Linked DNA regions of Drosophila melanogaster. The protein of the gene in region 3 interacts with the protein of the main gene of each other region in a pairwise test. Each region holds a gene or a part of one and is shown on either strand. Other genes may lie near its edges.

The links.
Region 1: the proteins of Cln7 (region 3) and CG8303 interact in a two-hybrid assay, tested with the Drosophila melanogaster proteins (one large-scale study listed by BioGRID).
Region 2: the proteins of Cln7 (region 3) and Alp7 interact in a two-hybrid assay, tested with the Drosophila melanogaster proteins (one large-scale study listed by BioGRID).
Region 4: the proteins of Cln7 (region 3) and Drsl3 interact in a two-hybrid assay, tested with the Drosophila melanogaster proteins (one large-scale study listed by BioGRID).

The regions. Positions count from the first base shown.
Region 1 is NT_033778.4:16,599,123-16,608,150, reverse strand, and holds the start of CG8303 (uncharacterized protein), read left to right. Parts: upstream 1-3,777; 5' UTR 3,778-3,863; intron 3,864-3,912; exon of another isoform or gene 3,913-4,022; intron 4,023-7,739; exon of another isoform or gene 7,740-7,872; coding exon of another isoform or gene 7,873-9,028. Other genes in the region: CG5089 (uncharacterized protein), read right to left, coding at 7,873-9,028. UniProt on the Drosophila melanogaster protein: Catalyzes the reduction of C16 or C18 fatty acyl-CoA to fatty alcohols.
Region 2 is NT_033778.4:22,200,840-22,209,251, reverse strand, and holds Alp7 (alkaline phosphatase 7), read left to right. Parts: upstream 1-3,658; 5' UTR 3,659-3,701; coding exon 3,702-3,774; intron 3,775-3,832; coding exon 3,833-4,182; intron 4,183-4,246; coding exon 4,247-5,267; intron 5,268-5,332; coding exon 5,333-5,520; 3' UTR 5,521-5,558; downstream 5,559-8,412. Other genes in the region: Alp8 (alkaline phosphatase 8), read left to right, coding at 1-250; Alp2 (alkaline phosphatase 2), read left to right, coding at 1,283-1,690, 1,843-2,533, 2,603-3,120.
Region 3 is NT_037436.4:7,341,384-7,347,009, reverse strand, and holds Cln7 (Cln7), read left to right. Parts: upstream 1-1,826; 5' UTR 1,827-1,880; intron 1,881-2,625; exon of another isoform or gene 2,626-2,918; intron 2,919-3,064; 5' UTR 3,065-3,150; coding exon 3,151-3,342; intron 3,343-3,399; coding exon 3,400-3,906; intron 3,907-3,966; coding exon 3,967-4,118; intron 4,119-4,177; coding exon 4,178-4,774; intron 4,775-4,839; coding exon 4,840-5,032; 3' UTR 5,033-5,126; downstream 5,127-5,626. Other genes in the region: CG14834 (uncharacterized protein), read left to right, coding at 1-1,188; lark, read right to left, coding at 5,540-5,626.
Region 4 is NT_037436.4:3,311,042-3,318,165, reverse strand, and holds Drsl3 (Drosomycin-like 3), read right to left. Parts: upstream 3,171-7,124; 5' UTR 3,133-3,170; coding exon 2,917-3,132; 3' UTR 2,811-2,916; downstream 1-2,810. Other genes in the region: Drsl5 (Drosomycin-like 5), read right to left, coding at 1,122-1,331; Drsl4 (Drosomycin-like 4), read right to left, coding at 2,314-2,529; Drsl2 (Drosomycin-like 2), read right to left, coding at 3,579-3,791; ZnT63C (zinc transporter 63C), read right to left, coding at 5,154-5,351, 5,417-5,651, 5,764-6,280, 6,339-6,436.

The DNA.
Region 1 (9,028 bases), on a different chromosome or scaffold from region 3:
CTAACAAATAACTATTTTATTTTTCCCTTTGAACAGCCTTATGTCGTTTAGTGGGGGAAATGTACCGTTTCCTTCGGCGGAAAGAAGAGAGCAGCACTGCTCGAAATGCGAAATGTGACTGAGGCAGAAAGAAGAAGCTTCTGGCGACCGAGCCGCCTGCGATTCTCACCATTAATGCCGCTCTCTCTCACCTCTCACTATGCTTTCTCCTTTCTCCACCCTCTGCGGTAACGGTTGTTCTCCCTTTTTTTCGGTGGTGCGTTAACGGCAATACAAACACGCTCTCTTTCGCTTTCTGGGGGCTGATATTGCTATGATTTTTCCACCACCTTGGCCGTTTTTTCTATTGAATGAAATCCACTTTGGTCTAGTTCTTCTTCCTTTCCACTCCTGTGCTTCTTCTTGCCGCTTTTCCTGCGCCTGCGTTGGACAACTAAAATAGGCGATTGTTGGGCAGCAAACACAGAAACTGATTTCTTGCACTTTCGCACATTTCTGCCGCACAAATATTCAACGAGGCACTCAAATCACTGCTTGCTGCGATTTCAAACAACCGCCAGTGCTGCCACCCTGCTGCTAAAGTAACGTTGCCATTGCGCGGGAAGTTCAAACAAAACCATTGGAGCATGTAAACTGGTTGAAACCTACTTCCTTTTAATACATTAGAGTGGATGGGAATTAAAAGAAATCAATAAACAATTTCAGGTTACGCAAGTCATATTTATTTTTATTTTCTTGAACATTAATCGTATATCGTATATCAATTAAACGTTTTCACAATTTCACAAAAAGAGTTAACATTTTCATTTAATTTATTGCTGTTAATTATTGTATGAAAGCTATGTTTTTCCCACATTTATCTAAGAATATATTTGATTACAGATCTCTATTTTATAGGAATCTTGATGTCACAACCTTCGGCAAACCAAATATTTGGACAATAAGCAAGGTCGCCAGCCGATTGCAGTGCACGCAACATAAATGTGAAAATCAAAACATAAAGGAGACAAAAACAAACCAAAAATGCATTGTCATTTGGGGACGGCGGGGCCTTAAGTTGTCGGATATATGGGTAAAGGGGTGTGGGCTGATGACTGCCCTGCCACTCTGCATATTAATCAACTTTAAAATACATTAAGATAAATGAATAGGGAAACATTCAGGTGGAAATGTTCAATGCTCTTAAGGGGGAAATAATTGATATATCACGAAAACTATAAATGAAAACGGTTAATACGTGCATCTAAGTCATAATACTAAATTAATTAACACATCTAATAACCCATACCGTGTGAAATTAACTTATTATTAAAAATGTTTTAAAAATTATATTTAACTTATGAAAATAAATAAGAAGTAAAGAAAAATTTGCATAATATCTGATTATAATGGTTTTAAGATGTTTTCTTCAAAAAAAATCCAATTAAAATGTTGTAAGCAGCTTGAAGCTTCTCGGATATCCCAAATCCATTATTATTTTAGCTTACCCCTTCAACGGATCTTCAAAAAGGGTATTACCGGAGACAAGCGACTTTAAAACGATAACAAATAGGTGAGACATCGGCAAACAGACAAACAAACAAAAACGAATATGAAATGAAAACCAACGCCAAGCTCATTACTCATGCGCACTGGATGACGTCGTTTTTGTGGCCCAAAGGGGGCTTTTGACCAAACCCCAACTCGATTGCTCCCCAAGATCCCCCATCTTCAGCGCCACTTCTTAGCCTGCTCCACTGCAACCGAGTTGCGATGACGGGGCATTAAAAAATGTGAGCGAGCCATGAAAAATCGCAGCTAGTCGACATGACTAGCGGCTGACTAAGTGGAAGTGCGATTAACTAACAAGAGCCTTTTTGCGGTTTTCTGCTACCGAAGTTGGGTGTTGAAGTTTATTGTAGGGAAATTAAATTAAAGACACGTTGGCAGTCACTTTAGATTGATATGATTGAAAATTGCATGGCTAATGATCCTAATCGATTTGCATGTGGCTTCGGCTGAGATGCTCATAGAGTTGAGGTAAAATGTGCAAAGGCAAATAAAAGTATTTCGTATCAGCATTCAAATGGACAACAATGGGTAATTGACATTCTTTTCTACAGAGAAAAAAAATATATATACCCATGATATTTTACCTTTGACTTAGTTATGATGTTTTAAATATCTGATGAGAAGAATGCAATAAGATTCACAAATGTGTAGCTGATAAATTTTAAATAAAATTTAAATTAGTAAAGGTAAAATTATACCTATTATAGCCCACAAATTACCAAAGGTTTAGTAACAGTCTATTATAGCGGCGGTGCTTTCAACATATATATTACGTATTATGTTAATTCAATAGATTGTATTCGTTGAGGTTCTTCCCTGATAGATCAAAACAACACGATTGTTTGCGTTGTCAGTTTCCAGCTGCGGTTTCCTCTTCCTTATAATTTTTCCCATTCGGCCCTTCTCTCAACATTTTGACCACATATGACCACTTTTCATTTGCGTGTCCCCCAAATTATTGCCAATTTTGACAATTCTTTTTTTCGGTTAGGCGAAGAGTCGTAGCCCTGCACACACCTGTAATTACAGGTGTTCAGGTGTGTGTACACCCGAGACGCTTTGCCTCGGGAGTTTTCGGCTGCTTAGGCCCAATACTCTGGTTTCGGTATTTACCATTTTATGATGTTGGCTTTTTACCAACATCTAGGTCAACTGCAATTGAACCCGTCGGAGGGGAAAGAGCTTAGAAAGCTTGTCTCTGCAAATAGATGAATTAACGTTTAGCTGACAGTTTTGTAATACCCCGCCCACTGATTTGCATTTCGCGCTGAAGTTATCAAGGGGCCATCACTCAATTACCCCCAACAAGTCAGTTTTGCATAATTAGACAATTAATATCGTGATTGGCAACACCTCATGCGATCTACCGGTAATTTTTCTACCTTATAATGCCCTCATTGACACCAAAATCAAATTATCAAAATCAGCAGAATATCGTATGTATCGTATGTATTACCTGGCCGCAATAAATTCGAGATGTCAGCAAAGTTATTCTTGTGCCTGCAAATAAAAGAACAGGAAGCAAGGTAGCAAAGTGAAAATTTCGCAAAATTTGCTGCAATTCAACAGGGGACTTTGTTTTCAAAATTGTTGAATATTTTTTGTGGAGCTCCAGCTAGAGGAAAACTCTTTTTAATTCGCGTATAAATTTTATATGATGTGCACGTGTACATCTTTAAAACACATTAATTTTATCAACGACCATAACATAATAATATTGTTATAGTACTATTATGGTATTGTTAAACATGGCTATAAACTCCAATTAGGGTATTATTTGCTTCAAAAGCGAAAATTTTAAATTGATGTGCAAACGAAGTAAAGCACTGAGCACATAGATATTTTACATAGTTGCACATTTCTACGACTCCATCATAAATATTTATAAGTATGATGATAATTCATTTAACCTGATAACGACTCTATATCCTAAGCTTTAGTTTTATTTGGTTCCTTGGAGTACTTTTACCCCTGTATTTTCGCTCAAGTAGCTAGCCCCCGCTCATTCCAAACCAAATGGTATTGCCAGATCCACTCAACAGATACCACGCACTCGTAATAGATCCAATTTGGAGAGACAGCTTTCTCAGTTACCAAAAAGTCAGACATCGCTGGCCACTCAAAGCTCTCTCAGCCTTCTTTTATGAATATTATTTTCGCTGGGTGCTGAGTTCGCGGCTTTTTGTTTCTCGGGCTGCCTCTTGATTATTTTCTGTTCCGATTTTCATTACGTGCCCCGAAGTCTTGGCGAGCTGAACTCGGAAACGCTGATACTCAGAAACTCAGAAACTGTGAAACTCAGGAACTGGCGAGTGAGTGCTTTTCAGCACTAGCTGCGATCGCATTACTTTCAGAGCCCGCAATCAGTCTTAAGTGAGCGTGCGTCGGCATTGGCAGCAAGTTGGCTAAAAGCGGATCCTCCTCAGTGGCCAACTTATCCCTCGATCTCTCTTTCGCCCCCGACACTATTGGTTAGTTTGCACTTCGCCTTAACATCTGTCCCACCAAGTCGTGCTCCAAAACTTTTAAATCAAGTGCAAAGTGAAACGCCCCACTGGGTGATTGGTGCAATCGATAATAAAAAAAAAAACAAAATAATAATATTAATAATCGCGATTATTGCAAATCGATTGCCAAACAATACAAGCGGAAGTGATGAAATAATTCTGATTGTCTAGAAAAGTGCGAAATAAACCTTAGTAATTTTGTTGGGCTCGGCTTGCGGAAAAACCATTGGAAAAGCTGCTGACTTATCTCTTTGATTTTCACTTAAATGTTTGTTTTCATAGCTTTTCCAGTTTCCTCGCTCTCAGCCGCTCTCTTTGCGTGAGTTAACCATGTGTATGTGTTTCGAGTTGGTTTAGATTTTCGCGACACCGATTGAGTAAGTTTTCCCATGCGGTTTTTCCAGCGCTTGCTGGAAAATTCATGGGCAGCAAAACAAACAAAAATCGTTGTTATGATTATGCGTTGAAGAATTTGTTAAATGCAAGAAGCTCGTATTAATGTTTAGTTTTATTGTCTCTGGATTTGACGCGTGGCTAATTTCTGTCAGGCACTTCTTCCATAATTTATTACGTTTTTTTTTGCGTGCCTGACATCGAATTTTTTAGCCGCAAACCGGTTTGCCAAACTCCTGGAAACACAAATAATTTAGACAATAGTTGTGTAGAATTTCTTAATGGGCATAACAAATAAGCGAGCAAATGTCAACTGTCCAAAATTGTAAGCAAAGTAACAAGCGCAAATGAAGTTCGTTTCTTCAGTCATTTGATTGAAACTCAAGTTTGTTTCTTCATTCTTTTGATTGATGCTATACTGCCAAGTTCGTTTCTGGAATCTTTGGTTTGCCTTTCAATGGAATTCAATTATTGAAATTCCCCACCGAAAAGAGGATCAATCAGCTTGCTTTGTTTCTGTTTATTTTGTGGAACTTTCAATGTTAAGGTCTACACAGCCATTTAATGCTAATGCCCAGCACAAGTGCGACTTGTTCGACGTTTTTTTTTTTTTTTTGTTGATTCGGTCTTTTATGGCGCATTGAATCGAATTCCCCCTTCGCTCCTTCGTCGCCAAAATGTTCATGCCTAGCATAAACAAAACAGAATTATTGTTACACATTTGGTTGCCAAGGCGGAAATCAAATAAAGCAAAAAGGCTGTCAAATAAAATCGAATTGAATGGAATAAAATCATAACAGCACATGAAGAGAAATCAATGGCGCGAACCGAGATGAGAGAGATCTGTTTGTCGTAAAATAGAAAGTGACCAAAATGGATCTTTGCTCATAAACAAAACCTAAAAATTCGTCACAGTTAGAGGATACCCTCGCGTCCAAGCCAAAGTTGCTCAGCTAACTTGCCAAATTTCTTATAATTTGTTCATTAGGGCTTTGCTTGGTTTTTGTTATCGCCTAGGGCTCGAAATGCGATATTTGCCATTTTAGGACTGGTAAAGAAATTTCCAAATATTTAATATGCAGAAACAGTTTGTATATACTACGGCACACACAGAGATACTTACCAATACGGGGGGGAACTAAAGACCCAGCTGGGTTTCAGTCATTTGTCTAAACAGAAATTACGAACAAAGCAAAACGCAGACGTAGCAAAATTATGCAAATCTTAGGGCACATACAGCCACAGCTACATCTGTAAATATTTATATATACTGTTTATCTATATATGTATATATAGTATTGTCCATGTGCTTCTCCATCAAAAATGCAAAATAGGAAATAAGCAATGAGCAAATGCCATAACAACAAGCATTTTTCTAAGTGTCCTATTGCATTTTTTTTAACGGATCCATTTAGATGTGATAAATAAAAAAAAATGTATAAAAATATGAAATTAGCACTTGTATCCTTATCAAATTTGTATTGCTGATGAGAATCATTGACTACAAGAAAAATCTGTGAAACAAATCAATTTTCAAACTATTTCAAGGTAAGGTCTTCTTCAAGGGCCCAAAAAAACTTTATAAGATATATGTTCTCAACAAGTTAGTGGCCCCATTTTATATAAGCCAAGAAAATGTCAAGTTCAACGATCTATTAGCCCTACCACCGACCATCAATAACTCAAGCCGTCAATCTCAAATGCACGATCTTAAAACCTGTTGGCCCAATCTAGCGAAGAACTTTAGGAGACCAAACAAAGGTTTTACCAATCAGCAATGAAAATATGACAAAAATGTTGCTGGGCCACAGCAAAATGGCGATGAATCTCTGTGACTCCGCCGCGTTCGAGGAAACTAAATGCAAATCATTTGGATGGGGGCCAGGCCAAGAGCAACCGAAACCAGTTAACTCTCCGATCAATTCAATGTTGGCCAAGCTGGCGGCATTCTGTCTCTGATCCGGAGAACTTAATTTGCATAATTCTGGGTTTTGGATCGGGCCACATGGCGGATTATTTTCGAAAGCGAAATGCCATTGAACAAAATGTGTTGAGTCAGGAAAAGTCAGTGCGGTTTTTTGGAGGTTGTCCGATCTGTCAGTTGGTCAATTACAAGCGAATCAATTAGCAACCGGGTGTTAGGCAGCGAAAAACACTGACATCGCGCCATTTTAACCACTTTGTATCTGTATCCGAGAGATCTGTTCGATGTTGATGATCCATTGGACTCATATGCATACGAAGACAACGCAGCACGACGATCTCTAGAGATCAACAGAGATTTGACCGTGACCGTGCATTTCGATTGAGCTGAGCTTTTTTTTTTTTGTTTGGCTGGCCAAACTCCGAAAATTAATGGTATTTGTGGGCCTATATAGATCTCCACCTCCTCTAACCAACGACAACTCCACTCGAGATCTCCGCCTGGGCGGCCTTGACACAAATTTGGAATCACACCAAAAATGTCCGAAATTAATCTCTCCTCCAACAAATCGTTACGCATTTCGTTAATTATGTTTTCCACCTGTACTCGATGCTTGGGCAATATGCCGTGTGAGATCTAACTACATTGGTTATACATACCTTGGTTTGATTTCTTTTTTTTAACTTGTCGAGGCTTTTCGGTTTCTTTTTTTTCGGATATACGCGTCATTTGCCATTAATTAGTCGAGCTATTGATGGTCTCGGTTGGAGCGAACAAAAGGCGGCATTGTGAATGGTTGTGCAGTTGGCCGGGAAAGTACAGTTAACAGTGTTGGGCAACGGCCATGGGTCCGATTGTGGCAGTGTGACAAGTTGAAAGTTTGGGGGTATTAATTAACGTAAGCTTAGCCACTCTAATCCACTTGGTGATTAAAGTAAAAGGTTAATGGGCCTTAAGTGTGGGAAAGTTGAAAGGGTTAATTAGCTCTCGAATTTTGTAGTTGGTTTTGTTCCCAGTGCTAGTCAACGTTTCAGTTTAGTGTTGGAATGTAGTGCTGGGATAAGTAAAGGTACATTCTATTACGAGTAATAGAAGTTATCTAAACTATTCCATAAATATGGGAACCCCTACTTTATCACGTCAAAAGCAGCAGTTACACGCGTCAACTTTAATTGCCATTACTAGTCGGAATTAATTACTTGACTTATAAAAAGCACGTTGCTCATTTGCTACATTTTGTCCATAACACTTACTACATCGATTGGTTTGCTGACTGTTGAAATATGTCGGTTTTTTGTAGATTCCCGAGTGGAATTTTCTTACTACAACCCCCAACTATGATTCACTGATTCGTTAATAGAATTCGTTCAACGTCAATTATATTAAATTTTACTATAATATCCCAGAACTCTGCCAGGAGCTCAGCAAGTATTCATTTTCAAATATTAACTCTGGATAAAAAGGCAATTCACAACGCTATAGTAAAATGAGCTCCATTTATGAGCTGCTGGCCCTTAAGAAGTTGCGCCAGGATTCGCCATTAGATTTGCGATGAGATCCCATGTAGGCACTGGGTCCGGCGATGGCGGGCGGCATATCCATCTGGCCGGAGTAATTGAATACGGGAGTAGAGGGACGGCTAGCGGGAGCACGGCTCTTGACGACCATTCGGAAACGGGGCGGTTCCACGGATCGACGCTCCTCCTTCCTCTTGGGCTTCTTCTCTTCCTCCTTCTTGGGCACCAGCCCTGGCATCTGAAGTGGTTGCCCGTTGTCCTGGATCGCGTCGAAGTCCTGTTGCCATAGAGCCACCTGTTTCATGGCAAACTTGTGGTACTGCTTATCGATGCCAGATGGTCGCCGCTTTGGTATCATCACTATAGTCTTGGCTTTCAGTGCATACACAGGTGGGGATATCTGATGGTAGCCGCGTCGTTGGTAATCCCTTGGATATGCAGGCGGAATGCCAACCACCTTCTTGCGCTTCAAATGTGGCTTCACCTCCTCTGTGGTCTCCGACTCCCGGGAGCATGGGCATGTGTGCCACGAATGCCAGTGCTCCGCCTCGCTCTCCTCCTGGCGCTTCCTCAACCAATCGGCAGTGGGACGATTGGAATCGTAAACCACTGTCTGGCTGTCTTGAGCTTCCTCTGAGCTCTCTGTATTGCGTCTTTGGCGCTGGTAGTCCTCCGATTCCCTTTGCATATCCTCCTCAATATACGTTTCCTTTCGCTTAACCGGACGATAGGTAATGCCGGAGGTATTAGTTTCCCTCCTAGATTCCGGACGATTTTGCCATCGACGGCGATTCTGTTCGATAATCGCCTCCTGACGCCTTTGGTGATCGGCCGGATCCTGTGAGATGGTACGCCGGCGCAATAAGTCCGGTTCTGCCTGACCTTTAGCGAAGTGACTATTGATTCTTCGTTGGGCCTGCTTGCGACGCTCTTCACGTTCCAATTCATATTTTTGTTGCTCGTGACGGATTTTGTTCTTGGCTATATAGAGGCGATCGTTGCAGTGGGACTCGTAGCCCAACTCATCCAAACGCTCGGGAAAATCGGGAGACCATTCGCTGTCACGCCAAGGAGACTCCCGGGGCACCGCGGACATCTCTTTCATCTTCTTGATGCCCTGGATTTGTGCTTGAGTC
Region 2 (8,412 bases), on a different chromosome or scaffold from region 3:
TGGACCCAATCAGTATCTGGATGAGAACGGACAGCGCATTCCTTTGGACGATATCCTTGGCTCGGACGACGCCATCACCCCCAGCTACATTCCCAAGGATCAGGGCGTCCACTCCGGCGAGGACGTGGGCATATTCGCCTCCGGACCTCAGAGTCACCTCTTCACCGGAGTGATGCAGCAGAGCACCATTCCCCATCTGATGGCATATGCTGCGTGCATTGGAAGCGGAAAGCAGGTCTGCGACAACTAAGAAGGCAGAAAAATCTGTTTTCAATGTTCGCCAACAACTTCTTTCTGTAATAAAAATGTAGCACACATAATGAATGTGTGTATGTTTTGAATTAATTAATTAAGATACTAGAATGGGTAGTCTTGAAAAGCCCTATGGAAAACCTGGTCCATGGAAAGAGATTTTAATCAATATTGCCAATGAAGACATAGACAAAATATAACCCCAAAATATAACCTTCAGATCTTTGTAGGCTTGGGTTCAAAAATTAAACTATGGCGAGTGTTGCCATATGCTTTTGAACTGGTAGCCAGCCTATTGGCTGAATTACCCCTTATAACCATAAACCTTAATGACTTAAGGATTGTGTAAATATAAACTGAGATTTTTCGGAGACAGTTAAGCTATCTGAGAATATGGCACGAAAAGACGACAGTTAAGATAACATTTATCTTATATGAGTCTACATTTAGACGCGTGTAAAACGTTTTATGCAATCTGAACTATATCCAATATGTTGAATAATATTTTCGATAATTTCATCAACCAATTCAAAAAGAGAAATTTTGGTTTAGGGTTCTGGGGTTTCGGGCTCTAAGTTGTTGTTCTTTATAGTGTGCAACCATTTCAACAACAACTTGTTCACGCGACACGTTTCCTGTAGATTAGGCTCGTGAGAGTTGGATCATCATGGCCAATATCTTTACGAACGCAAACGTGACTAAACTAATTCAGATAGCTGGAATAAACATTTGCACAGGTGATCTCAGCACTTTAGGGATAATAAGCTCAGCCAAACGAAAGTCGAGTGATCTCATAACCCATTACTATTACAACGGGTAGTGGTTTTATAGAGGGATGGTCATGTCACTTACAGCTGATCTTCCTAGAAGTCGGGAGTACCAGCAGAGATAAGTCCAAGGGGTATAAAGTGGGAATAAACCTAATTTTAGGTATTCCTTGTTTTGAATGCAATAATCCGGTGCAGGGCATATAAGACCTGGAAATTAGACGGGATCGTTGTAGTTCGTTCGGTATCACTGCAGTTGTAAGATGCACATCTCCCAGAGGCGCTGCCTTTATCCGATCTTTCTATTCCTGCTGGCCTTTGTTGGCACAGCACTCGGTAGAGTCCAGGAAGTGCACAATGTGTTGGAGTTGACGGGTCAGAAAGCCAGCAAGCTGAGGTTCTCCACGGACGTGGCCACGGGCAAGTACACTCCGCCGGAGGAGATGGATCCCCAGTTCTGGTACAAGCTCGCCGACGAGGAGATCGCCAAAAGGCTTCAGCTACCACAGCCCAACTCCGACAGGGCCAAAAACGTGATAATGTTCCTCGGGGATGGTATGCCAATTAGCACAGTCACAGCTGCTCGCATCCTGAAAGGACAACGCCAAGGAAACACTGGGGAGGAGTCCTCACTGAGCTTCGAGAAATTCCCCTATTCGGGATTGAGCAGAGTGAGTGTTTGCATAGTACCATAGACCAGTAGTAATGATAGCAAAAACAAACCTTAACCTTTTTCTTTATCATGGTGAAGTTCACAACGTGTGCCAGGACCATAAAATCCCCACATAAGTGCTTTATTCAAACAAAAATATTATCTTTACAGACCTACTGCGCCAACGCCCAGGTTCCCGACTCAGCCTGTACTGCTACCGCTTATCTGTGCGGCGTTAAAACCAACATTATTAATATCGGAGTAAGTGCAGCAGTAAACTTTAACAACTGCACCGCCAGCCAGGATCCCGCGAACCGCCTGACCTCCATTGCGGAATGGGCCCAGAATGCCGGCAAGTCCACGGGATTTGTGACCACCACCACACTGACCCATGCCAGTCCCTCTGGAGCATATGCCAAGACGGCCAATCGAATGTGGCAAAGCGACACGGATGTGACCAGCTATGGAGTGGATGCCAGCACCTGCGTCGACATGGCCACTCAACTGGTGACCCAGACGCCCGGCAAGAACTTCGAGGTCATGTTCGGCGGCGGAATGGGCAAGTTCCTTCCCAAAACCACGAAGGATAGTCACGGGAAATATGGCGAGCGATCCGATGGCGTGAATCTGCTGTCCCGGTGGCAAGGGCTCCACGATAAAGGTGTCTTGGTCACCAATCGCAAGCAGCTGCTTAACTTAGACGTTTCAGCTGCATCCAGCATAATTGGTACCTTCCAATCGGGCTTGATGGACTTTCACATGGACGCTGATCCCACCTATCAGCCCACTCTCTCGGAACTCACCGAGGTGGCCATCAAGAAGCTCAGCCACAATGAAAATGGATACTTTGTGTTCATAGAGGGTAGGTTCTTCTTTGAAAGTATATACCTCTTAAATATATACACTAACAACAAGTTTGAATGCATTTTAGGTGGCCTCATTGACTACGGCAACCACTACACGCAGGCGGGATACGCCTTGGATGAGGCCCTGGAGTTCGAGAAGGCCATTCAGTTGGCTCGTGAAATGACCAACATCAGTGACACGTTGATTGTGGTGACCGCTGATCACGGACATGCCGTCAGCATAGCCGGATATCCTGGAAGGGGTACACCTATCCTTGGACTCAATCAACACGACACAGATATCAACGGAGTGAAATACTCGGTGCTAAACTACGCAGCTGGACCCAATCAGTATCTGGATGAGCATGGCCAGCGCATTCCTTTGGATGATATCCTTGGCCCCGATGACGCCATATCACCAAGCTACATCGATAAAGAAATTGGAGTGCACTCCGGGGAGGACGTGGGTATTTGGGCTTCTGGCCCGCAGAGTCACCTTTTCACCGGAGTGATGCAGCAGAGCACCATTCCCCACCTGATGGCCTACGCCTCATGCGTTGGTAGTGGAAAGCAGGTCTGCGGGAGCTCAGGGCGGAAAACCTGAAAGATACCATGGAATATATTCTACTGTAACTATAGGAGATTTGAAGTAATCCAAAAGACAGCGCATGTCCTTTCTTTAGTATTAGGCTTTCTCACATTTTAATAAACCGTGTACTTATACTAATAATACATTTAAGATTATTCTTCTACCCAAGAGTTATCACGATCTTTTCGGTAATCTTATAGTAATCACAGTTATGGTGGCATTTGGACGCAACCAGTCCCATTAGCTCACCTTGAGTGTGGGATAGGGTCAGTTTGCATGGTTCAAACTCTTGGTGCCGTGCCCACTTTTGGAAGCCACGGGTATGTGCTCGCAGCCCATTGGTCTAGAATTTTGGATGGTAGCTGGGTCTATTGACTCAAAGGCCATAAAATATTCATAAACTCTAAAGACCAAAAGACCATGTAAATATGAAACCATAAAGTGAGATTTTTTGGGCGCGTTTTCACTGCGGGGATTATGCCATGGAGATATGGCTAACTAGATAACAGAGATCTGGAAGGGTTAATAAATAGCCTTTTGCAAGAGTGTGGCAGTAGTTCAATCAGTTGCCCTGAGCGAACCTCATCTTTCTGAAAATGAAGACTTTCGTAGCCATTAGCCTGGTGTTATGCACCCTGGTGGCCACCTCCTTGGCTGCTTCCATAGACAGTAAGTGCAGCAGTTGGACCCTGAATTCTAGAGATATCTCACTGAATTCCCTTTCCAGTGCCCGAGATCCATAATCAGTTCCAGCTGGTGGGAGGATCGGTGAGCACAGCAAAAACCCGCGAAGGAAACCTTATCGACCCAAATGCCATGGCCAAGGGAAAACCCGGACCAGAGGAGGAGAAGAACGCGCAGTTCTGGTACGATCTTGCCTACGAGGAGATCGCCAAGCGCCTGGAACAGCCACAATTGGACAAGAGGAAGGCCAAGAATGTTATCCTGTTCCTCGGCGATGGCATGTCCCTGTCCACGGTGGCAGCCGCCCGCATCCACAAGGGTCAGCTTAAGGGCAATACCGGCGAGGAGGACTCCCTGAGCTTCGAGAAGTTCCCCTACACCGGCCTGAGCAGGGTGAGTGATATGCTCGGGATTTGGATTTGAATGAGATAAGTATTTAAATATATCTTTTCCGTAGACATACTGCTCCAATGCCCAGGTTCCCGACTCCGCCTGCACTGCCACCGCTTACTTGTGCGGTGTGAAGACTAATATCGTGGCTTTGGGAATTACGGCGGCAGTGAGCTTCAACAACTGCAGCGGCAGCGAGGATCCGGCCAATCAGGTGGACTCCATCGCAGCCTGGGCCCAGGCTGCTGGAAAGGCCACTGGCATTGTGACCACCACCACTCTGACCCACGCCAGTCCATCAGGTGCATATGCCAAGACCACCAACCGATTCTTCGAGAGCGACACGGATATTCTGACCTACGGCGAGGGACAGAACGATCCGGCCACCTGCACGGACATTGCCACCCAACTGATTACCCAGGCTCCCGGCAAGAACTTCGATGTGATGCTGGGCGGCGGAATTGGCAAGTTCCTGCCCAACACGATCACGGATCCGTTCAACAAGAAGGGCGAGCGTTCCGACGGAGTAAACCTGCTGTCTCGCTGGCAGGGACTGCATCCCGGCGGTGTTTTAGCCTACAATCGTAACCAGCTGCTGAGCGTGAATGTCTCGAAGATCACCAACCTGATTGGTACCTTCCGCTCGGGAGTGATGAGCTTCAATAAGATGGCCGATCCCAAGGAGGAGCCCACACTGGCGGAAATGACGCGCAAAGCAATCGAGGTGGTCAGCAAACGCGATGGTGGCTACTTTCTGTTCGTCGAGGGTGGACTCATCGATTATGGCAACCACTTCAACTCCCCAACCTATTCGCTCTCAGAGACGCTTCAGTTCGAGCAGGCTGTTCAGGAGGCTCTGGATATAACCGATCCCGAAGAGACCCTGATTGTAGTCACCTCCGATCACGCCCATCCATTGACCATCTCTGGTTATCCTGGCAGAGGAACCCCCATTTTGGGTCTCAATCAGGATGACACCGATGTGAATGGAGTTAAGTACGCCACTCTCAACTATGCAGTGGGAACCAATCAGTATCTGGATGAGCACGGCCAGCGCATCGATCTTACGGATCAAATTGGAGCGGAAGGTAAGTGAATTCTACTTTTGGGCGCCTTGATAAGTGATAAGCGAACCAATCTGCTTTCCTTCTAGACTTCATCCACCCCAGCTACATCCACGGCACTATTGGCGTTCATGCTGGCGATGATGTGGGAATCTTCGCTACTGGTCCGCAAAGTCATCTCTTCACCGGCGTGATGCAGCAGAGCACCATTCCCCACCTGATGGCCTATGCCTCCTGCATTGGCAATGGACCCACTCTCTGTGACAATGAGGACTAGAATTTTAATGAATCTATAATATAGAGTATTTGGAAAGCACCCTGCTCTCACTTTGATTTGATTCTGGGGGAGCACTTTGCAGAAATCAATAATCAAATTGGCCCGACTCCCGTAATTTATTGCACGAGTCTGCCGAATTGACTTCAATTTAAAACGCATCAGCGAAAAGACAGACACTCGCAGATGCAGATACAGATACAAACAAAGATTTAGATAGATTGAGCGATCGCATCGATTTGTTGCCAGTCGATGGCTGTCACTTGTGGGGGGTAAGGAATAAATATGAATTCGCTGAATGTCAGGTTCAAGCATTGGCATTGCCGACACTTGGGGATACGCAGATACACAGATATGCCGTAGATATATAGATGCACAGATGTAGATATATTGACTCCCACACGCATCTGGAGCAGCTCCTTCACTCGCTCTGACTTTGACTTGTAATTGTTTGCTTGTTTATGGGTTTGCGCATTCAACAGAATTTATTTAAATGCGCTTGACATGAAGTGAGTCGAGATGAAGGCGCAGCTCCAGACAATTAAGCTTAATGTTTTCTCGTTTCTTACGCAATTAAGGATCGCTCTGGCCAAGGCGGTGTCCTCGATCCCCAACGACTTCAATAACTCAATTATTCGTCTGCACACACAGAAAATATTCCGATTCGTACATTGAAATATTTAAATTGCCAAAAGAGGAACATATTAAAATGTTTATTGTAGCATTTGTTTAAAGTACTAAAGTAGTGATCTTGTTAGTGAAACTTATATTTTAAAGTAAGTTCATTCCAGCTCATTTTCGCTCGTGCCTTGTCCTTGTTTCGGATTACTTTGAGTCTTTATTTTGGGAATTTTTGTTGTTTAAAAGTTCTGAAAAATTCGCTTGTTCAACGATTGCTGGCTCAGCGAAAAGTGGAAGCCAGGGGTTCGTTTACTTAGTGTTGTGGTCGTAAAACGCAAATCGCTTGTCGGCAGCAGCTTGTCGGCTTTTAAAGTCGCGTCGTTTCCCCATTCGCAGTCCTCAGATCGCAGTTCAGTTTGCAGCTCAGCTTGGTCTGCTAACTTGGCTCAGTCTCAGTTTGGGTTCCAAATCTGTCGCGTGCGGATCAGATCAGTCTTTACAGTTTATGCCCGATTTGACGCTAATTTCAGCTGACTTTTCGTCTGGCTGGCTAATAGTGCGCGAGTTTATCTTTAACGTTTGAATCTCAGTTTCGGCGATTACCAACTGAATTGTGTGTGACAGGTGAGAATTTGTGGTAGATAAACTTACAGATAAACCGAGTCCAGTTCGAATTGCAACGCAGAGCAAGTGTTGAAATTGTAATTGAATGCGTGGCTCGGCGGGAAATCAATATCAGATGGATTGTCTCCGGATTTGCGGTTAACGAACAGACATTCGAGTCGGAAAACAACAACAGGAGGATCTCGTTCTGTGAGCTATATCAGTTGGCACTTGCTAATTTGCTAATTAATCAGACTAAGCAAACAGCCCTATACCGAGATATGACCTTAAATATTTGCTCTACTTTGGCCATTTAAGCCGCGCAATCCGTTTAGATAAAGAGCTAACCCATTTAGCCCAACTATTTCCCCTTTCGCCAGCGCCAGCTGGAAATTTGGACGGCAAACACAAACATTTATCAGAAATCTGAGCAAACTTGCATTTTCCACGGGACGCACCGCTAGAAAGTCTGGAAGATGCTTGTGCCACTTTGGGCCAAGATCGGGTCTGGCCAAAAGCGCTGATGGCGGTTCGTGGGTGCACAGCAGATGGAGATGCATTCACCAGATACGGATGCTAAATCCGCCTGAGTCACGCTATTTATAACAGCAAAAAAAAAAAACAACAAAATAATGAAATCTCCACCGACACGACTGCAATCGATCATCGCAGAGGAAAGCGGTGGGCTTTTGGCACCGAATTTTTACCTAAAAACCAAATAGACAACCTGGGGATTGCGTCTTATTTTCGATGTGCAGCTGGAATTCCTCCGGCGATGTTTACTTTGGGCATTAGCTTTTGCTGCCGTCAGGCGAACATGTTATTCTAGTTCTGTGTATTTTGCTCTACTGACCGTGAACTTGAACAAATGGAAATGCAAATGCAACCCATACAAACAGGCGAATGCACTATCCTTTGGATTTGAAGTTAAGTGCCTGATTCGGTGAGACTGAAGCTAGCGTAACCCCTGAGAAGTGTCAGGTATCAGTGGGCAAAATGTGACGATTCAGCTTTATAATCATGGATATATGTATCTCTATGTAAATATGGCTGGTCTCTAAGGTTAACCAGAATTCGGGCAGGAAGCGAATTGCTCGAGCAATCTGTAACGAAACACCATCAACAATACAAACCAGAGCAGCCAAATATTCAATATTATATAGTATCGCAACTAATCCCATAAATTTGTTAGTTTTCATCTTTGAGCGGACAAAGCAAACACGCAATCCGGTCCAGTTCCGGCACCTCCCCCCACCGAAGCCCCTACAAAAACAAATAACAAAAACAAACCGAAAGCAAGCACACCTGACAAAGGTGAGTGAGCAAAAACCCAGAAACATGGCTACTGGTCTTGTCCAGGTGATGTCATATTTATCTCTGTTCGCGGGATGGCTGGCGCTTCTGGGGCTGGGGATCTTGAACTGTGTAGCATAATGGCAGCTCCGAAATGAATTCCTCCTCCCTGCCATAGTTACGATCCTAACGTCGCCGATCCAATTTGCATTTACATAATTCTCAGAGACTTTACGACTCGTTAAGTATGTGCCACAACCCTCAGGCCTATTTGATTACCTTTGTGGGATTTGCATAATCAATGATTCGAATAGCTCAGATTTGAGAGCGACGAAAATGGGGGAAGTGCTAGTGGGGGCCCACTGTAGACAGGGGGGA
Region 3 (5,626 bases):
GGCTATACGGTGATACTTCTACTGGCTGCTATTCAGTTCCAAGCAAGTGTAGTGTCCAGCACGACAACCAAACCGCCATCGACATTGGCCACATCCACGAAAGCTAGTCGCAATGTGAATCCCCTGACGGAGTCGAAGCTCGAGAAGAATTGCAAGGCGCTGTGTGAGCATTGCGGCTGTTTGGGCTTCTACTGCGGCGAGGAGTGCCTGTGCGAGTGTAATGACGACCAATCCGATACTGAGTGCATTCGCACCATGCAGATGAATGCCAAGACGTTGAATCTACCATTCGAAATCGTCATCCAGGGACCGAGCAGCAATCGCTTTGTGCGCAACGCACAGCAGTTCGAGCAGAAGCGAGATCTGGTGGCCAGGAGCGCCAGCACTTCAATGCAGTCGCCTCGAAATCGTCGCTCAAACATAACCATCTACAAGCCCTCCACAAAGTTGGTCATTCAACGTACGGCCAATGGCTTAGAAACGCCATCCAAGGCTTCGGAGCAGATAAGGCACAAGAGGTCCGTCGATCACCTGGAGTGGTTCAATGACTTTGCCAGTTCCTTGGTGCGTCCCTCGCCACTGGGCACTAGAGCCCAGAAGCAGCAGCGTGCATCAGCCAAGCCATCGGCATTCAAGCGTCAGGCTGAGCTGGAGGAGCCGGCTCGTCGGGAACCATGGTTCCTGGAGCAGTCAGCTTCGCGACTGACTCGCCCCGCTCCACTTAAGAAGGATGCACTCTCGCGGAAGAACAAGAAGAGTCCTTTGTTCCGAAAGAGCGCCAAGAGCAAGGCGTCCAAGGAGCAGTCGCGCAAGCAACCGGAGCGAGAGATTCGGCCACTCCGCGATGCCTTGCAGGTGGTGGAGCGGATACCCAAGGTGCTTCAAGATACGGTCAGTCATCTGTCCTCCGATCCACGCACTGGGGATGTCTTTAGCCTGAATATTAGAAACGAGGATGTGCCGCAGAAAAAGGATCGCCAGCCTGAGGATCGTGTGCCACGCAGGCCTAGCGCCACCTTCCGTGGTTTCCGGCGCAATGAGATCATCCCCGAAGCCGTCACCCTGGCTGCCCCAATGGACCTTGCCCCACGAGCTCCACTTCCCGGCCAGCGTCCAGGTGGACTCCTGCTGCCCTGGCTGAGGCAGCGGCGACTGATGCGTTTGCAGCAGGCACAGGGAAATCTGTAGACCCAACATACCCAATTTACTTTCACTTTTATTATTATAATCATTTGTTGTATATTTATAAGGCATTTTGGTCTCTCAAAAATAAATATAAATTTGCACATTATAGTGTTCTGCAGTAGCAGCGAAGATAGAAGCGTTCGAAATTAAAGTATCTGAAGTAGTAAGATCTTTATGTACCTGTAACAATATGAAGGCGTTCTTAAAGATCGTTTTCCAATGAGTCATTATAGTATTCACACACGCAGGTAGAAGTTTGGTAGGTTAGACAGGTTTCTATAGAACTCCATTCTTCAGTTTCCCTATTATTTCAATTGGATCTCGAATCGAATCTCAAAGATACATCTATTCTACTGATGATCTAGTATAATAATGATAATTTGAAGAAGGAGTATTGGTGTTACATGGATTGTGGATTGATAACAAGTTACTATACTATGCTTAGGAATATTTTGCCTGAATAGAAAACCCTTGCGATCTATCTTACAGATGCCATAGATTTCGGAGTATCTAAGTAGCATACTTTCGGGCGCGGGTGCTATCTGCCGTTGGCTCCTCTCTCTCTTCGGGCAGCTCCATCACGCTCTGTGGCGACGCGTCGTCCGATTTGTTGGCAACAGGCGCTGCCGCGTCAGTTCAGTTCAGTCCGTCGCGTTCGTTCATCTCCAGTGGTCGTCGCTGTTCCGCTGCAACAGGTAGTTAAAAAGACATAGCCCGATTGGTAAAAGGTGCATTACCCGCTGGAAGCCCCACAAATAGGATGCGCGCGGTAGGGGGGTGCCCTTGAGTTCTAGATGCACAGAAAGATACATGCACGCAGATACAGATACAGATACAGATATAGCCATTGGCAGAGGGAGAAAAGCGCTTTCTTTGCGTTTGGTTAAATATTACAAAAATCGAGTGAGAGGAAGCGGGAGAGCGAGAGTGAGACAAAGAAAGAGTAATTTAAAAAAAAACAAAGAGTGCATGTTTCCATTTAATTTACATAGTTTTGCTTCAGTGTGTGACGAAAAACAAAATACAACTTAGTAAGCTAAGTAATTTGAAAATCAAAGCAAGGAGTGCAAAGGCAAAGTAGCTTAACGAAAAAAACAATAGGCAGCCAAAGATCAACGGTCGCTATCTCATATCTAGTATCTTGTATCTGAAAGATGTGTGTGTGTGTGTTTGGGTACTTCGAGAACGAGAATCTGGCGCTCAACTAAAAAAAAAAAGAAAAAAAAAAAACCAACTGCATCAATTGGCAATTGGTATAATCAATTAGAAATTGATTTGCGACGGAGTGATCTTCAACCAGTGATGATTTGATTGATGTAGGAAGTGGACAAGTCTGATTGATATGGCTAATCGCTGCACTTGTTGCACTATCGAAAACTAAAGTTATAACAAAATGTTTTTATTTCGTACCCTGTACTGGGGCGAATCAATTTCTTTTGCTCTGATAAATGAAATCATGTAATAAACTGACGTTCTGTACGAACCTTATCATGCCATATAAACAAAAACAATGGCATACTCACAGTGATAGTGGCTCTTACTAAAGAAAAACGACATACAGACACCCGCACATGGCAACGAATAACTACAAACAGCTTTATTTCGGCACCGATTGCCTTTATCTTCCGCAATTTGTGTGATAAGTTCAGCAAACTGTTTTCCATATCTGTGGTTTTTTCGGAGGAGGATAATCACGCGACGTCTGGCAGATAATCCACTCCATCCATATTCAAGTAATTGAAGGCACCGCCGATTAGAGACATACTCTACTCTGAATCATTAATAGTTACAAGACTTTAAAAGCGTGTCTAACAACTGACACATCGATTCACAAAAAGCTCCATAAAGAAAAAAAAAACTCATTCGAATCCATTTACAGAATGACTCAGTGGCGGTGAAATCCAGCAAACACACATCCATCGCAGCCAACCAACCCATCAAACATCACAGCCAAGCAAACCAATTATGGAGTTTGCCCGCCGAGTTTCCGCTCGCTTTGAAACCAAAAGACTGCCGGAGGATGTGGACGATGGCCTGGAGACGCTGGAGGAGTACAAGCAGCGCTGGCGCTCCGTCCGCATCATCTACTTTACGATGTTTCTGATGGCGCTTGGCTTCAGCATCATACTCACAGGCATTTGGCCCTACCTCAACAAGGTGCGTACCCATTTTGGTCACGCTATCCAGCTGCTTTTCAATCTCATCTCTCTTCAGCTAGATCCCGATGCGGGCAAGGAGTTTATGGGACTGATTGTGGCCGCCAATCCGCTGGGACAAATGATCTTCAGTCCGATCTTTGGGTGGTGGGGCAACAAGCTGGGCAAGATTCGTCTGCCACTGCTGCTATCGCTGTCTCTATTCACGCTGGCCAGTGGCATATACTCCTCGCTGGAACTGCGTCCGGACAATGTGAAGTACTGGATGCTCTCCTCGCGGTTCCTCATCGGTGTCAGCTCGGCGAATATTGCCCTGTGCCGCTCCTATTTGTCCGCTGCGACACGAATCAGCGAACGCACACATGCCGTTGCAATGGTTTCGCTGGCACAGGTCCTTGGATTCATCATTGGTCCAACTCTGCAGGCGGCAGTCACACCGCTGGGAGATCAGGGACACGTCTGGCTGTGGGGCAAGATGCACTTCAACATGTACACGGCATCCGGATGGATCAATGTGCTGATGAGCATTGGAAACTTCATGATGTTCCTGCCCGGAGTGTTTGAGGTGAGTGGCCAGGTTACTTGGTTCGCTCTAAAGTGTCATTAAATTTGAACACTCCTTCAGGAGCACAAAATTGCAGCTCGCGAGGTGATGGTGATGCAGGGCGGCACATCCGAGAAGGAGACTTGGAAAGGCATCAAGCCCAGCTATTTATCCGCATGGACTTTGATCGTCGCCTTCTTTGTTCTGGTATTCAACTTTGTGCTGTTGGAGACGTGAGTAATCCTCAGAGTGGGTTTTTTTTTTTTTAAACTATTGCTTCCTCGCCTTGCAGTCTGGGCACATCCCTGACAATGGATATGTTCGCTTGGTCCAACGACGAGGCCCTATGGTACATGGGCATCATGATGACCACCGCAGCTATTGTCTCCCTGGTCACGTTCGTTTTGATTGAGCCCATGTGCAAGATTATAGCCGAGCGTTATGTGCTCATCTGGGGCGGATTCTCGCTGATGTTTCTCGGTCGCGTGCTCTTCGTGCCTTGGGGTCCGGATCCGCCAAAGTTGGCGCAGCCATTCAATGCCAGCTGGAACCTAAGCGAAAGCGATCCCATCTTCTTGGGCTGCCCCACAACGCAGAAATGGTGCGGCGAACTGCCGGCCTTGACCTTAACGCAGTTCATCATTGGATTTGCCTTCACATCGATAGGATATCCCATTGGGGTGACTCTCATCCAGACCATATTCTCCAAAGTTCTGGGACCTCGGCCGCAGGGCGTCTGGATGGGCTGGATGACCGGTTCGGGTTGTCTGTCCCGCGTCCTTGGTCCAGTCTTCGTGGGATCCATCTACACGCGCCTAGGTACGTTCTGGACCTTCGGCGTTACTTCGGCCATGATGCTGGTCTCCATGTTTTGGCTACAGTGCAGCAAGTAAGCTGAAATACTATTCGTTTTTAAGGCGGTTCCCCACAATAAATAACATGTTATCTTTTCAGTCGATTACTAATCCCGCCAACATTCGAAAAGACCACACCTGTCGAGCTGAAAGAACTGAACAAGCACAATGGTAGCAAGCTGCTGGACGACCACTCACCGGACACGCACAATGGTAGCCCACCGGAAGATCTGTCTCCTGATCAGCCCATTTTGGGCAAGCACGGCAGCCAGCACTCGATTTCACATGCGTAACGACGGCTGGCTATGGAGCATCCGTAGATCTAAGACACATCGTTGCAATACTGCCCCTTAAACTAGCTTTAAAATACAGTGTTTATTTTTGCACAGTTTCGACTGATTATGCGTTTATTGGTACTACGGTTGAATGTGTAGAGGTTGCACGTCGTTGTCTAGTTCTTTTTTTTTTTTGGCGTGTTTTGCATATAGGGAGGATGCTTAAACACGTATTTCCATCTTCTTGTTTAAGTGTACGAGTAATGGTTAGTTTGGGTTTAGTAACATGTATGTGGTTTACCAAGGCGGCAGCCACAGTTGTGAAATTGTCGTCGGCATCAGCATGTGCTGCTGGTGTGCTTGGTGGTGATGGTAGTAGGCCGCCGCTGGCGACCAGCAGAGCAGCCAGCAGTCCACAGGCGCCGTTCTTCGATTGCTGGTCGTGTGGTAGAATGTGTGACCCATTGGCAGGGGCATGGGTAGTGCAACCGCTACTCAGCTGCTGCCGTGATAGTAAAACTCATCTCAGTAGGGCGCATATCTGCGACCCGGCGGCGATGGACCGCGCATTCCGCGCGACGAAATCATGCGTTCGTCGAATGCATCGCGACT
Region 4 (7,124 bases), 4.0 Mb from region 3:
TCACTGATCGCTAAACCATTGCACGCTTATTTTTATAACTTTGTAAACTCATTCCAAGCCATTGATGTTAATCTTTTGTATCATGTTATATCTGTTAGTTTGTAAGTAGCGTTTTAATAAATTATACTTTTTGTGTTTAAAACCATAGCACTTTTAAATTTGTGTAATTTTTAGGGGACTTTCTTTTGGTCCTATGAATGGCTTTTTAAATAAATTGTTATCAACTTAAGGCAAAGGTTTTTCAATTGAAAGATAATGGAGTTAAATTAACAGGGTGAGTTTTTTGGCTTGGTTGTGTTTTACTCAGACTAAAAATAAATTTAGTTAAAGATTATTTATCGTCAGCGACTAAAACCCGTTTCGTAGATAACAATTAAACATTCGCATGAGCATACATTGAATATATTTGACCCTATCTAACGCAAATAAATTGAAGCAATTGCTTTAATAATAGACTATGGAATATGGATGAGTGACATCTGTATTAAGTGCACGCCCTTGGGTTTCCCAGAAGTTCCTAGTCTAACCAGAGATTTAATTATTTTAGTATTCTGCGTTTTACCTATCTATGTAATGCATGCTGTCCTGCAAGCTACTTCCACAGTTTCAGTAAGCATTCTTGAGAGATAAATAATCCAGATTACATCATATAGTATCGCTGTACGCAGCGCTCTATTTTCTGCAATTATTCATCCTATAAATAGAATAACTTAAGCAGTATTTGAAGCATGTTACAATCTGAATAAAAACAAATTATTTTAAAATATCGTTAAATTTTCAATACTTCACAGACTAAGTCAGAGAATTAAGGTGTTAGCTAGTTTTAATTGAGAATATATTTATATGTACTTATTCATATATTTTGTAATGAATAAGAATAGAAGAAAACCTTTTCGAGTACGTCATCAGTTAATATTAACATTTTTAAGGAACAATCCTTATCCGTCCTTTGTACGTACATTTAAATACCTTAGTATCACATAGTTAGTATCACAGTTGAACCAGTACGAAATAATCATTTGCGTTGCAATAATATATTTAATATTTATTTATAGTTATCAACAAACTATAACATTTAGTAGTTTTCCGGCAATTTAGAGCAACGCGCCTTGAAGGATGGCCTAGCATCCCTCGCACCAGCACTTCAGACTGGGACTGCAGTGGCCACTGGATCGTCCTTCCTCCTTGCACACCCGACGACAGGTCTCGTTGTCCCAGACGGCGCAGGGTCCTCCGTATCTTCCAGAGAGACAGTCGGCATCGGCTTCCTTGGCGCCCAGGATGAAGATGGTCATCACAGCCAGGAAGAGGTACAGGAACTTGATCTGCATGTTGTCGGTTTTGAATCAGAGTGCTGCTGTCGGAACAATTCGAACTTGATTTATGAGTCCAAACCCCCAGCAACCGCTTTATATAGGGATCGGGATCTCTCTGCCAGCTTCGTCGTATTTCTGGAATTGATTGGCAGATAATTGGAGATAATTATTGAATTGTATTTCATGGAAGGGCATACTTTAGGGCTGATAAGACAACGAAAACTGACTTCAAAAAGTATTCTCTTTCGAGATAATGATCATTACGGTAAGTGTCTAAGAAAAGTCGCATGAAATTTCGTTTTCTTTTTAAAAAGTTTCACTGCCATCTTCTCAGTTAGCAGTTGAGTAAGAATGCGTAGTTTTTCTAATGGAAAATTAAAAATGGCTTATTAATAATCTGCCGACATTGATTTTATGCAATGTGCCATTTATCACGAGACTTCTAGGAAACTAATTAAACCAGTTTCATTAATTAAATTTATTCATAAATTGTAAAACTGTCGAGTTTGTTAGGAAAACCCAGAACCGGATTCAAACACCAAACTTGCACTTTTCGATGTAACACGGTTGATAATTTGTTGGAAATATTAACATGACAAGATTATCTTTATTTCCCATAAAGTGATATGGGTGCTGGTAAATGAAGATTTGTGTTCATAAATGAAAATGGCCTTTCCAACTCTTGTTAAGACTGAAATAGTCTATGCTTTTTTTTTCTTAAATGCTTATTATGAGTTGAATTATATATTCCACTTCTTTCTAAATGAATTTTAGCTTTCTATTGAAGTTAACTCTGATTATTTATCATTTAATTATTTCTTCCATTCCATTATAAATCTCATTTTCGAAGTAAATTTATGATTTTAAAAGGATTCGTTCTTTAAGTAGAAATAAAACTGTATTATTTGCTGTGAAGTATATTCTTTATTTTTCTTTTCAAAACAATAAAAAACATATGACACACATATGTGTCAAACATATTGGACGATGAGGATCCTCAGCATTGTTCGCACCAGCACTTCAGACTGGCACTGCAGTGTCCACTGACACGTCCTTCCTCCCTGCAGAGGCGACGGCACTGCTCTCCATCCCAGGCCCAGCAAGGACCACTGAATCTTCCAGATGGGCAATCCACGGCCGAAGCCGAGTTGGCCACCATTAGGACAATGGTCACCACAGCGAGGAGAGCAAACAATCCTTTAATTTGAGCCATTATTAGAATGTTCTTCTGGTTAAAATCTTTACTTTTGAGTTTCTTGAGTCCGACTGCACTCTTATATAGGTACAGAATTTGTATATTAACCGATTAGCATAAAGGTGAAAATGCAAATAACTGCAATATAACTTTCGAAAGGCATACTTTTGGGCCTTTTACGCGACAAAACGCGCATCGCTATTTTGGGATGATAGAATTGCTATACCTTCTTGATGTTGATGCACCTTTTTGTTTAATATACTTACCACATACATATTAAATCAAATCAAGAGATAACTCCTGAAAGGCAATGCTTACGTGCCTTTTACTGTGCGGTGTACAGTATATTTATTATTGGCTCAGAATAAACAAAAAAACAGCATGCACTTTTGAACTGCAGTGGATCTAGCATCCTTCGCACCAGCACTTCATTGCGCCACTGCAGTGTCCACTGACATGTCCCTCCTCAATGCAGAGACGGCGGCACTTTTCTCCACTCCAGGCCCAGCAAGGACCTCCGAAAGTTCCAGATAGGCAATCACGTGCCAAAACAGTGTTGGCCTCCATTAGGACAATGGTCATTACAGCAAGGATAGCAAACAGGAATATCATCTGCACCATGACAACTGATGTTTTCAACGAGTCGGGAATTTTACTTGAGTTCTTAAAGACTTTTGGCATCGACCACTCGTGGGGACGCTTATATAGAGATACAGATTTTAAGATTTTTTATTTGATCGTAGCAATCGATAAGCTTCTCGGAAATTCAAGCTAACAATAACCGATATAATCCTAGTTTTCCAGAAACACTTGATTTATGTGTGCCATGTGTCAACTTCATTGATTTAAAAATGCATCGTTATCATAATAAGTTATTTACCTAGAATTGCTATCTTTTCGATTTAATGATGTATGTAAACATTCACTTCTCCTAACACATTGCCATACAGGAAATTAAAAGACAACAGTGCGTATGAGTGATAAGCGTAAGAGGCCTTTATATTTATATATTATTTGTTTAGAATGAAATATTCAATATACACATTTCAAATGGATATAGTATGGATTCAGCATCCTTCGCACCAGCACTTCAGGCTGGGACTGCAGTGGCCACTGATATGTCCCTCCTCCTTGCAAATACGTCGGCACATCTCGTTGTCCCAGACGGCGCAGGGACCCTTGTATTTGCCGGAAAGGCAATCGGCATCAGCCATATTGGCGGCCAGGACAACAATTGTCATCACAGCCAGGAAGACGAAAAGGAATTTGATCTGCACCATTGCAACTGATGTTCCGAACGAGTCTGGTACTTTACTTGAGTTCTCGAAGACGTTTGGTATCGACAGCTTGTGGGGACGCTTATATAGGACTACACCACCTCCATGCATTTCCAATAATCTTTTTTAGCACGTTTCAAAATCTTTTGTGATGCATTTGCTCAGTGGCTAGGTGCCTCAACTTTGATGTCACACATGTGCTCCTATCTGAATTCGATAAGCTTCCAAGAAACTCGAGGCAGAGCTCGCAATCTTGCCCATTGCTGCAATCGATAAAATGAATCAGGGAATCAGGAAGTACCAGTGACCCCTGATTGTATCGAAAATTTCGACTCCAAAGAGGCATTTTATCAAATTGTATACAGTTAGTTCGCTTGGTCTAATTATGTTTGGCGTTTATTTACAAACATATACATCTGAAAATTAATGCAGATCATAAAATAATACATGATGTTTGCATTAAATGTATAGTCATTATAAAGTTCGATACGATTAAAATTAAATAGAAACTAGGTTCTCGGTTGTGGTAAAAACATTTACATATAGCATTACAACTACTAAGATTTAGGGACTATGTCTAACCATACACAAACACAAATGCGTGTATACCTATGTATTTTGTAAACTGTCTTTAGTCATTTGCTAATCCGTGGGTAACTATTGAATACAATAATTTATTTCACGTATGTATAAACTTTCTCAAAATGTAAAAAACGTAGTACATATGTATTCTCTGCTGTTTGGGCTCACTTATCGATCTAAACTAATGCAATTAACTACAATCGAATAGGTTTAACATACTATATAGTATATGAATGACATCCTGAACAGCATGTTCCTTTAAACTTTGTGTCTCCCGCACTAATAGATAATCGTGTTCTTCATTTTCATTTTCATTTTTGATTTCACTTTAATTAAACTAGCTCAATGGTCAATCGACCGAACTTGTCCCACTCTCATTTACGCCTAAATTCCACTAAGAACAAATAATGATACAAAAAAACACGAAAGCTGCACCATGGCAGACCAGTCTCCATTGCAGCGGTTTGCACAATTAACGTTAAACTAGGCTCCTAATTAGAGTGCCACCTCGTCGCCATTCCTGGTACTCAGTGGTGACACCTGCTCCTGATACTGCTGTTCGGCCTGCAACTGAAGCTCCCGTCGCCGCTGGGCGGTCACCGTCAGGCCGAGATTGACGTCCACCTGTGCGCTGGAGACCACTAGGTTGTTGGCGCGTGGCTCGTACATTATATCACGTATTGATGTTGCTGCTGCTGTTGTGGCGGCCTTTGTTGTTGCGGTTGCGGTTTCCGTTTTGGTCGTGGCAAAGTGTACATGTTGTTGCGCCTGATGTGGCTGTCGTCAAACCAAATCGCTCTTCGGCGTTGACGTGGCCCCTATCGCAGCCACGGGCGCTCCTGTGCTGGCCCCACCAGTGGCTCCCTGGTTGCCACTGGACGTGGCCTCCAGCAGGGAACCCGCCTCCACATCGCCGGCCTGTCGGGCGGCATTCCGCTGGCGGCACAGATACGGCGAGTTGGTGGGTGAGGGCAGTTGGTTCTGTAATTAAGGTTTATACTTCATTATACAATTCTACATGTTCCCATTAGACTAGATGAACTCACCAATTTGTTGTTGTTTTGGCAGCACGTGGCCTTGACACATCCTTCTTCCGTGGTAGGACAATCCAACGCGCAGCAGTCGGAGCCGCTGATGTTGATGCTGGAGGTGCCATCGGACATGTTGCAGCCTTCGATCTCGCTGAACTCTGGCTGAATGGTGGTAGAGTGGATACCCTCGTTGTGGAAGAACTCCTTCACCTTTTCGGCAATCTTCATGTACTCCGAAAGGTTACGGCACCTACAAGGTTTACGAGAGATGGATTAGATTGCATTAATTTGATTTATAAATGGTTATAGAATTAATTTTTCTTTTTAAACAGGCAGTTACTCTTTTAACAAGTAAATCTCACCTAATATGGGCAGAGGCGATGATGCGGTCGCCGGCCAGTTGCCACACATGGAACTCGTGCACAGCCAGCACGCCATCAACTTTCTCCAGAAGCCTCTTCTGAATGGCATCCACCTGGATGTGGGTGGGCACCGTTTGGAGCAGAATTAAAGCGGACTCGCGCAGCAGCGGCCACACGGAGTGCAGGATCAAAACAACCAAAACGATGGACAGAGCGGGATCCATGTAGTACCGGTACTTCCACTCCGTCTTCCACACCACCACAGCACTGATTACGACAATGATGCTGCCAAGGGCATCGCTCAAAACGTGCAAGAAGGCGCCGCGCATATTCATCTGGCCGGGATCATGGCTGTGTCCATGGCTGGATTTCTTGACCGGTGCCTTTTCCTTCTGCTTCTCGTAGGCAAAGTCGTTTTGCTCATCCTCGCCCTCGTCCATGTTGGCCAACTCAGTGAGGCGGCTGTGGTTACGGGTGAGTCCGCCGCCATGTGAGTGTCCATGGTGACCGCCGTGCTCTGCAATGCAGATGAAGTTAAAGAACGGCCTACTCTTATCTGTATTACTTGGTCTTACCGTAAAGCAGACAAAGTCCAATAACATTCACCAGAAGACCCAAGGCTCCCACGATGACAAGCAGTTCAGGCTCGTGAATCGGCTCCTCCTCAATGAATCTGTGATAAATGGAAATGTATTGTTTTATTTAAACTGTATTAAGATAACATAACGAAAGCACTCATCAAATCCTATGTTAGTTTATTATTTTCGACAGTGTAGCTGGCTTCTGCAGGGAATCTGTAGCTATTGGCAGAATAATCACCTCGCAAAGCGTTCGATAAATATGCACACAATGTGACCGGAATGTAAATGAACAAAGCGTATAATTCACACAACCCAATGCACAAATACAAACCGAAATGTGACGATATAACGTGAATGTATCACAACAAATTAACTCACAGACGGAGTAAGTCAAGAAAATTTAAACAAATCACGTTAGCACATGTCGATGCCAAGGCAAGCCTTTTGCTCATAATACGGCTTGGCTTACAATTGTCAGATCATTAAATAAGTGGTTTTTGGGTGCGGATCAACGATCCGTAATGAGTCGAAATATTAAAACCATTTGCGTTGCGGCCAAGGAGTAAAGAGTAAGCGAGTAGTAATCCAAGTTAATTAGTTTCAGAGCCACGTTTAATAAGCAATGAGTTTTAAAAGCCTCGTTATAAAACTTTAATCGAATTTATACAGAATTTAATAGTATGCTGACACCATTGTAACATATTTTTTGGTTTTTTTTTTCTCAGGAATATAAACAAAACCAATCTCCAAGCCGCTTAATCATTCGATTGGTACTTTGCT